2 linked regions of the Canis lupus familiaris genome follow. The protein of the gene in region 1 interacts with the protein of each later gene in a pairwise test. Links are inferred from orthologs where the notes say so. Each region holds a gene or a part of one and is shown in the gene's direction. Other genes may lie near its edges.

Evidence for each region. The genes of interacting proteins can lie anywhere in the genome.
Region 2: the proteins of CCDC57 (region 1) and TSGA10IP interact in binary tests that used the Homo sapiens proteins (3 or more experiments, as listed by UniProt). The two-hybrid records come from large-scale screens. The link is inferred for Canis lupus familiaris from reciprocal best matches to the Homo sapiens genes CCDC57 and TSGA10IP.

What each region holds. Positions count from the first base shown.
Region 1 is NC_049230.1:950,606-954,958, forward strand, and holds the start of CCDC57 (coiled-coil domain-containing protein 57), read left to right. Parts: upstream 1-1,325; 5' UTR 1,326-1,462; intron 1,463-4,353. UniProt on the Homo sapiens protein: Pleiotropic regulator of centriole duplication, mitosis, and ciliogenesis. Critical interface between centrosome and microtubule-mediated cellular processes. Centriole duplication protein required for recruitment of CEP63, CEP152, and PLK4 to the centrosome.
Region 2 is NC_049239.1:51,823,205-51,827,704, reverse strand, and holds the start of TSGA10IP (testis-specific protein 10-interacting protein), read left to right. Parts: upstream 1-1,608; 5' UTR 1,609-1,655; coding exon 1,656-1,808; intron 1,809-3,122; coding exon 3,123-3,247; intron 3,248-3,349; coding exon 3,350-4,077; intron 4,078-4,259; coding exon 4,260-4,407; intron 4,408-4,500.

The sequences.
Region 1 (4,353 bases):
GTGACGCAGGCCACAGGTGAGTGTCCCACCAGGCTCTGCCAGGTGGGGGCTGGGCATGCGTTCTGTCCCCGCTTACTGCCAGGCCAGCGAGGAGGCCCTCAGGGGCTCCCCAGAGCTGTCCCGGAAGGAGCAGCAGGGCCTGGCCCGCCTCTGGGAGGCAGGCTGCCTACAAGGGCGATTTGGCTTTGTTTTCCACTTATGTTTGAGCACAAAGGCAAAAGCGCACAAGTTAGGAGAGCGAACTGATGGATTCTCCGCACCACACGCAACACACGGTGCGACCTCCGCAGGACGAGAGGCTGCTGGAGCCACCCGCCCCCCCCAAGGCCCATGCACGGTGCTGGGGGGGCACGGACCCCGCCCCACTGCCGCCCCCGATCGACCCTCCCCCCCCGTCCCCCGCAGCCCCGGCCCCGCCTATGGACACCTCCCCCACCGTGCAGCCCCGGGTACCCCGCTCCCCTTCCCCGGTGCAGCCCGGCCCCACCCCCGCGTACCCAGCCCCCCATGTTGCCCCGCCCCCTGGACCCGCCCCCGTGCAGCCCCAGCCCCCACCCCGTGCAGCCCCGCCCCCTGTGCAGCTCCGCCCCCCCACGGCCCCGCGCCCAGTGCAGCCCTAACCGCCCCCGTGTAGCCCTGTCCCTACCCCGTGCAGCCCCGCCCCCGCCCCGCCCCCCGTGCGGCCCCAGCCCCCACCCCGTGCAGCCCCGCCCCCTGTGCAGCTCCGCCCCCCCACGGCCCCGCGCCCAGTGCAGCCCTAACCGCCCCCGTGTAGCCCTGTCCCTACCCCGTGCAGCCCCGCCCCCGCCCCGCCCCCCGTGCGGCCCCAGCCCCTACCCCGTGCAGCCCCGCCCCCGCCCTGCCCCCCCGTGCGGCCCCAGCCCCTACCCCGTGCAGCCCCGCTCCCCCGGCCCCGCTCCCCGTGCAGCCCCAGCCCCTACCCCGTGCAGCCCCGCCCCCGCCCTGCCCCCCGTGCGGCCCCAGCCCCTACCCCGTGCAGCCCCGCCCCCCCGGCCCCGCTCCCCGTGCAGCCCCAGCCCCCACCCCGTGCAGCCCCGCGCCCAGTGCAGCCCTAACCGCCCCCGTGCAGCCCTGCCCCTACCCCGTCCGGCCCCGCCCCCGCCCCGCCCCCCGTGCGGCCCCAGCCCCTACCCCGTGCAGCCCCGCCCCCACGGCCCCGCTCCCCGTGCGGCCCCGCCCCCCGTGCGGCCCCGGCCCCCGTAGCCCCCGCCGTCCCTCCAGTTCCGGGGACCCTCTCCCGGCGTCAGGTGGGCGGGAGTGGGCCCTCCGCCCCTTGGCGCCTGCGCGGGGCGGGTGAGAGGAGGCCGGAACCCGGCGCCGGAGCTCGCGTTTCCGGGCGGTGGGACCCGAGCGCCGCACCGAGCGCGCCGGAGCCGCGAGGGCGGACTTGGTCACCATGGCGACGCGGCGGGACGGAGGCCGGTCCCCACGGGCGTGCGCGGTGAGCCTGGGGCGCGGGGCGGGGCCGCTCCCGGGCCCAGTGACGGGGTCGTCGCCTTCCCGGGGCGGGGCGTGGCTGCGGGCCCCCCTCCCGCGAGCACCCTGCTGGCGCCCGCGGCGGCCTGCCCCACCCCGCGCGGAGGGTCGGAAGCCGGGAGGTCGGTCCGGCGGCCCGCCCAGTCGTGGAGAGATCCCCCGCGGCGCGGCGGGGTCAGGCGGGGCGGGGGGCAGCGGGGTCAGGCGGGGTCAGGCGGGGGCGGGGCGACTTGGGGTGGGACCCCGCGCTCCCGGGCCCAGGGCGCCGCCTGCCCCGCCGCTGCTCACGCACGTACTTTCCGTGTGTCCCCATTCTAAAGTTGCCATTTTTCGTTAATGATACTTCCAGGCCACGGAAATTGTTTCTTTATCTTTTTTTAAAAAAGATTTTATTTATTTATTCGTTAGCAACCGAGAGAGAGAGAGAGAGAGACCCCCAGACCGAGGGAGAAGCAGGCTCCTTGCGGGGAGCCCCACGCGGGACTCGATCCCGGGTCCCCGGGGTCATATCCTGGGCCGAGGGCGACGCCCAGCCGCTGGGCCCCCGGGCGCCCTATATATCTTGTTTCTAACCACACTTTCTATCACAAGTGTTTTCTGAAACAATTATTAATATTTTTTTTACCAATTAAGGATTTTTCTGTTTCCATTATTCTTTCCAACTAATGGAATTCTGTAAGAAAGAACCTCCCGCCCCACCCCCGTTTCTTTTAAGTAGGCTTCACACCCAACATAGGACTCGAACTCAGGACCCAGAGATCCAGAGTCACACAGGGACTCTACCGACTGAGCAAGCCGGGTGCCCCCAGCACCTTACCTTCCTCCCTTCCCCCCTCATCTCGTGTTGGTATACACGTTTTTATTTTGTTTTTATTCCACACCTGTATAATACATTGCTATAATGTATTTTGTTGCTAATTCTCCAGGTTTGGGCATTAGGAGCCCCTTCAAGTCAGCGTGTCCCCCAGCATTTCTCGGCACCGCCAGATGTTCCCCGCCCGTCCTGTGCTTTCTGGAGCAACTTCAGAATTGCCAATCCGTATTTCTATGAAAAATAGACTACTAGCTAGAGTGTAATATTTGCATACAGTTGTTTTGCTTTTATTCTTGGAATTTACAGTCAAGATTTTTTATAAGATTATTTTAGTGCATTTATGTAGGTTTTGTTGCATTATGTCAATCACTTGTTCCTGTTTGTTTTTTTTTAATTTTTTTATTTTATTTTAATATTTTATTTATTTATTCACGAGAGACACACAGAGAGAGGCAGAGACAGGCAGAGGGAGAAGCAGGCTCCATGCAGGGAGCCCGACGTGGGACTGGATCCCAGGTCTCCAGGTTCAGGTCCTGGGCCAAAGGCAGCGCCAAACCGCTGAGCCACGCAGGTTGCCCACTTGTTCCTCTTTGTATTTCGTTATGAGTCCTTACTGATTTTAAGTTTCAATGTGTGAACCATGTTCTAAAAGTCAGCAGCTCATGGGGCGCCCAGCTGGCTCAGTTGGAAGAGTGCAGCCCTTGATCCCAGGGTCATGAGTTCGAGGCCCATGTTGGGTGTAGCGATTACTTAAATAAGTAAATAAAAAGTCAGCAGCTCTCAACTGTAAGGTGATTCAGCTTCCCTTCTGCTTTTGTTCTCATTTACTCAATTTTTATTTGTTTGGTTTTTGTTATTTTTGGCAAAGGAATTTGGCAGGTGTAAATTGTAATGAAAAAGCACTGCATATCCCTCACTTTAGCGGTATCCCTTAACCCCAGCCAGTACCAGTGGTGGAATTAAGACCTGAGATTTTTTTTTTTAAGATTTTATTTATTTATTCATGATAGTCACACAGAGAGAGAGAGAGGCAGAGGAGAAGCAGGCTCCATGCACCGGGAGCCCGATGTGGGATTCGATCCCGGGTCTCCAGGATCGCGCCCTGGGCCAAAGGCAGGCGCCAAACCGCTGCGCCACCCAGGGATCCCCCTATCTGAGATTTACTTGAGATTTTACACATGGTTGTGGGTACTGTTTGGCACTCAGTGAAGTGTGAGGAAGACGGCTTGTGGTCACAGGCCCCTGATTTTCATCCCCTAGACACTACGCTGGAAGAGTACGCGTACCAGGGTTAGCTGGACGGCCCTTGTTGGGATTCCAGGGGGCGCCAGTGTTGAGTCCCGTCCTGAGTGCAGTAACAGATGAGCCCCCTCCAGACTTTCCTTCAAGTCCCACAAAAGCGTTTTGTAAATTAAGGTCACTAATTTATAGTAATTAAGCTCACGTGTTTATAGAGCAGCGAGATAGCTTTCCTTAATGAAGTAGATTTGGGTTCTCGTGCGTTAGGAACGGGGGGCTTATTAGCCGCTGAGTCCAAAGCCCAGAGCATCTGGAACCGCAGCCTTGAGGGAAAGGAGGTAAAAAGAAACCTCTGCTCAGCCAGTGTGTCCGAGTGGCTTGTTCGTCAGCGTCTGGTGACCGGCTTTTAGCCCTTTGCAAACATTCCCTTGTGTACATTGTGCACTCGGTAACTGCTTATGTTTTAATGAGGTCATGCAATGCTTTTCCAATTAAGTACTTACGAGATATTTATTGTAAAACAAATTGTTCCAAATTTTTGGTCAGGCGCATGGAGTGTGATGAACTCTCGTGTCCTATCTGCGGATTGGGTAACCCGGGTTCGTCTCTGACGTGTTTTACTCTGATGTTCGGGTCGTCTGGGGAGTGGTAGGATTTGTCAGTGGGACGAAGCATCCTGCCATAGTCCTTCCTGTCCCTCCAGCATCTTGTCCCTGGAGGCCTGCAGGAGGGGTGAGGCACCCCCAGGGCGAGGCCAGCCCCCTGCAGAGCTCCCGTGCTTGCAGAGCTCTGCACCTCCCTTT
Region 2 (4,500 bases), on another chromosome or scaffold:
GATAGGAGTCTGGACTTTGTGGGAGAAGGCAGGGCTGACTTGGGAGTAGGTGGAAGGTGAAGGATGGCTTGTGTCAGACAGGATGAGCTCCCTTAAGAAGTGAGAGTGGCTAGGTAAGAAAAGAGGTCTGCACGCACCTCATAAAAATACCAGCCTGAGCGACCCAGACCTGCCCTCTGCCAAGGAAGGAAGTGGCCCAGAGTTTGTCCAGGAAATCAGTGGGGCTAGGGTCTGGAAATGGAGCAGCCTACCTGTGTACTTCCACAGGACACCTGATAGAGGAGGCAGTGGGGTGGGCATGGCAACCCACCAGAAAGAGCAGATTTTGCCTATTTTAGGGACAAGAAATCTTCACCTGGAGCATTAATTAGGCTGTTCCACTGGGTGAGCTCATTGTAAAGGTGCTGCCGGGATGGAGTCTGAGAGCAGATATGAGGCCACAGAAACAAAGCTCAGGGAAAACCATGCCTGTAGGGCATCTGCTGGACTCTGCTTCCTTTACTGGTCTCACTGGGGCTGCATGGTTGGCTAAGGAGCAACAGCTCTTCCACAGAAGTTCGGATGAGCCATGGGAATGTTCTAGGTGTACCTGTCTCTAGTAACTGATTTAAGCCTCACTGTGACCCCAGGAGGAAGATGCCATCATAACCAGCCTTGTGATGCCCAAGAGGACACAGAGGTACAAGGGGAGCTGGATCTGAACCCCAGTGCTTCCTGTGTTCTCTTAATCACCATGTGCTGCTACCCCCCAATAATAGTCCGCCATTGTTAGCAGTAGTGATAATGAACCATTACCGAGCATGCTGCCTTCATGATTTCATTTAATCTTTGTAATTAACCTATGGAATGGGTCTATGCTTTCCAGTTTGGCAGAGGGGAGAGGTGACTTGCCCAAGGTCACAGAGCTGGTGAGCAGCCAAGCCAGGCCTCCAACCCTGCCGCTGGGTCTCTAGGGCTCAGTTTGGCGCCGAACTCCCTATGCTGCTGGTGGTAGTGGTCAGTCCTAGGCGTACCATGGGGATTTACCATGGTAAGGCATTTTGGTGATGCTTAGAAGTTTGGGATGAGATTTAAATGCTCTGACTTCCTCCACAGCCTCCTCTGGGTCCTGGTTGCCTGCTGCTTCCCTCCTGGGCATGGTGTTCAACTGGCTTTTCTTGCCCTGTCTGGACCTGGGAGGCCAAGTGGTTTGAACAAGATCTTGTTGTGAGAGCTCAGCTTAGCTTTTGCAAGGCCTCAGTTGGGGCTGGAGTACTGGGGGCAGCCCAGGAGGCAGGTGGAGGGAGAGGGACCCCCTCAGGCACCGAGGGTGTGAGGACCCTTCCAAATGGTCAAGTCTTGAGATCCCTTGTACAGATAGAGGGGGAGACACAGGCTGAGTGAGGACAGGGGACTCATACCAGGTCAACGAAGAGTCCTGCAGAGGTAGGCTTGGCCCTGGGCCTCAAGACTCTCAGGCCTGGACTCTTTCTCAGCATCATCCTGAACTTTACCCCCCCAGAAGGAAGTTGACCTCACATACCCTGGCTGACTCTCCCTGGCCTGCTTTTTGCCAGAGCCCTTGAGGCTGACTGAGAACTGGTTGCCATAGAGATGGTGGGGTGGGCAGTTCCAAGGCTGGCAGATGGGGGTGGGGGTCCGGGCAGGACACCAATATGCGAAACACCCACCAACGGGCGAGCAGGACTACTTCAGGGAGACCAGGGCAGGACATGCGGCTTCAGGGAGACCAGGGCAGGACATCCCAGGCTCCTGGGATGACCATAGGGCTGCTCAAGTTCCTGTCAGACATCCCCCAAGCTGAGCAGGTGAGGGAGGCCCTGTGGGGGGACTTCCAACTGCCTGGAGGCAGCCTGGCTGCCTGGGGTCAGTATAGGCCAGGGCTCAGGATGGCACTGGAGAAGTCATGAAACTGGAGCTGAGGCCCGGCGAGAGACAAGAAGGCCCAAGGCAGGCAGGGACCACAGGGAGGCCTAAAGGGTCCAAGGCGAGGATGAGGAAGACACCCAGGGATGACTCCCAGGCTTCCAGGAGAGCCATCTAGGGGAACTGCAGGAGAAGGAGGAGGAGGAGGGTTTTAGGAAAGATAATAAGCTTCCTCTATCTTGATTTAGCAAGTCCAGAGCCCCATGGAGCATTCAAAAGAGCTATCCGGGACATGGAGGCAGCACCGTACCATGGTGACAAATCTGGGCTCTCGAGACAGACTATGCATGTTCAGATCCTGACTCCACTTACTGGCTAGGTAACCTTAGTCAAGTGATGTCACCTCTCTGAGTCTCAGTGTTCTTATCTGGGATGAGATGAGATCTCATCGGGCCCTTTCACGAAGATGGCACTGAAGGCGAAGAAGGAAGCCCCTGCCCCTCCCAAAGCCGAAGCCAAAACAAACGCTTTAAAAGCTAAGAAAGTGGTGCTGAAAGATGTGCACAGTCACACACACAAAAAGAAGATCCGTATGTCACCTACATTCCGACCACCCAAGACCCTGCATCTCCGGAGGCAGCCCAAATAACCTGGAAAGAGCGCCCCCAGGAGAAACAAGCTTGATCACTATGCCATATCAAGTTCCCCCTGACTACTGAGTCAGCCGTGAAGAAAATAGAAGACAACAACACACTTGTGTTCATTATGGATGTCAAGGCCAATAAGCACCAGATCAAACAGGCTGTGAAGAAGCTCTATGACATTGATGTGGCCAAGGTCAACACCTTAATCAGGCCTGATGGAGAGGAAAAAGCATATGTTCGACTGGCTCCTATCATGCTTTGGATGTTGCCAACAAAATTGGGATCATCTAAACTGAGTCCAGCCGGCTATAAATCTAAATATAAATTTTTTTCACCATAAAAAAAAAGATCTCATGGGATAACAGTGGGATATAGGTCCTTGGGAAAGTTAAATGAGTTGATGCATGAAAATCCTGAGCATCCAGCAGGTACTCAGCAGCATCATTAAATATTAAAAATTGAGGTGGTGATCAGTCAGTTTTACCAATAACAAGAGCCCAGCAGGCCAGCCATGGTACAGAGAAGAGGAGGGTCCCCTGGAGGAGGTGTGGGATGCTCCAGGAGGCTGCTTGCAGCCAGGCCTCCTCTCCTGTCTTCACCTAGGGGAGGCTTGGGAATGGCGATGATGTGGCTCTGGGCCAGCAGCCGAGGTCTCGGAGCACAGGACAGATGCCAAAGAAGGACCGGAGGCCCAAGGCTCGGAATAAGAAAGACCGTGGCTCTGCTGAAGCTGAAGAGTAAGCCACTGTGCAATAGGCTGGGGGGATACTGGCTGGCAGGCCCCACTGGGGGCCGAGGCCCTGACCTTGACCCTTGCTCCCTGTCCTCTCCTTCCTCAGTCTCATCCCCTCTCCTCCTCGGAAACCCTCCTTCCCCTTCCAGTGGGCCTGGGAGAGCTTCACCACTGATGGCCAGGCTCTGCATCAGCCCAGCTTCTCCTCGGCCTCCGCCCCAGGCCACCAAGCTCTGTCCTTGTCCCGAGCAGTCCCCCAGTATAAGGCCAGGCACAAGTCCACAACCACCCTCCCAGAGCCCCATGGCTTCTGCTGGAAAACAGAGGGGCCAAACCTGGAGAGAAGCCAGCAGCTCAGGGCCTGGGGTTGCATCCCCAGCTGTTCTGGCAAAGGGGAGAGCCAAGAACTGGAGGCACCCAGTGAGTATGACCTCCAGCCACCTGGGAGGAGGTCAGGATCAGGATCTGAGTCTGAGGAAGGCACCGAGCTGGAAGCCCTGGGTTCTGAGGAGATAGAGAGGGTTTTGAGCCCTGGGGAGCTGCCCCAACTCCTCAGCAGGGGGTTGATATTAGAAGAGGAACAGTTTGTAGAGGTGACAGAGCAGGCCGAGGAGGGAGAGCACAGGACCCTCCATAGAAGGAGAGCTGGTTCTCAGAGAAAGGGGCAGAATTTTCGCGAGGCAGCCTCCGATGAAGATGACCTGCAGTGCAAAGGGAGCAGCTCCAGCTCCAAACTCAGAAGACCACAGAGGAGGAAGTCAAGGGCCAAGGAGCTGGAGGGGCCATGGGACCCGGAGAAGCTGCAGAGGCAGTTACAGCAAGAGTTGGACTGTGGTGAGTGTGGGCTTCGATGTCTGGGTTCCCCAGGAAACTACAAGGTGGGGAGAGAGTTTGGGGAACCAGCAACCTGGACCAGGAGTTCAGACAGGGTTATACTGCGCTCCAGGTGCTGGGCGGGATTGTCCAGCGGGCTGGGAGGGAGGAGGCTATTCTCTGACTTGTCCCACTCTGGATAGGCCCTCAAAAGCAGCCCTGGAAGGCTTTGGGGGCTGCTGTCCAGGCCTCCAATCGGAGTGGGAAGGCCTATGCCTTGGGAGATGAAGAGAGTTTCCTGTTTGCCAACTTTCCTAACCGTACCTTCCACAAACGACAGGAGGCCACCAGGTAAGGTAAAAGAAAAAGGAGGATGGGAAGAAAGGGCTGGGAGTAGAGAAGGAGCCAGTTCTCCAGAGACACTGAATCATTCATCCTCATTCA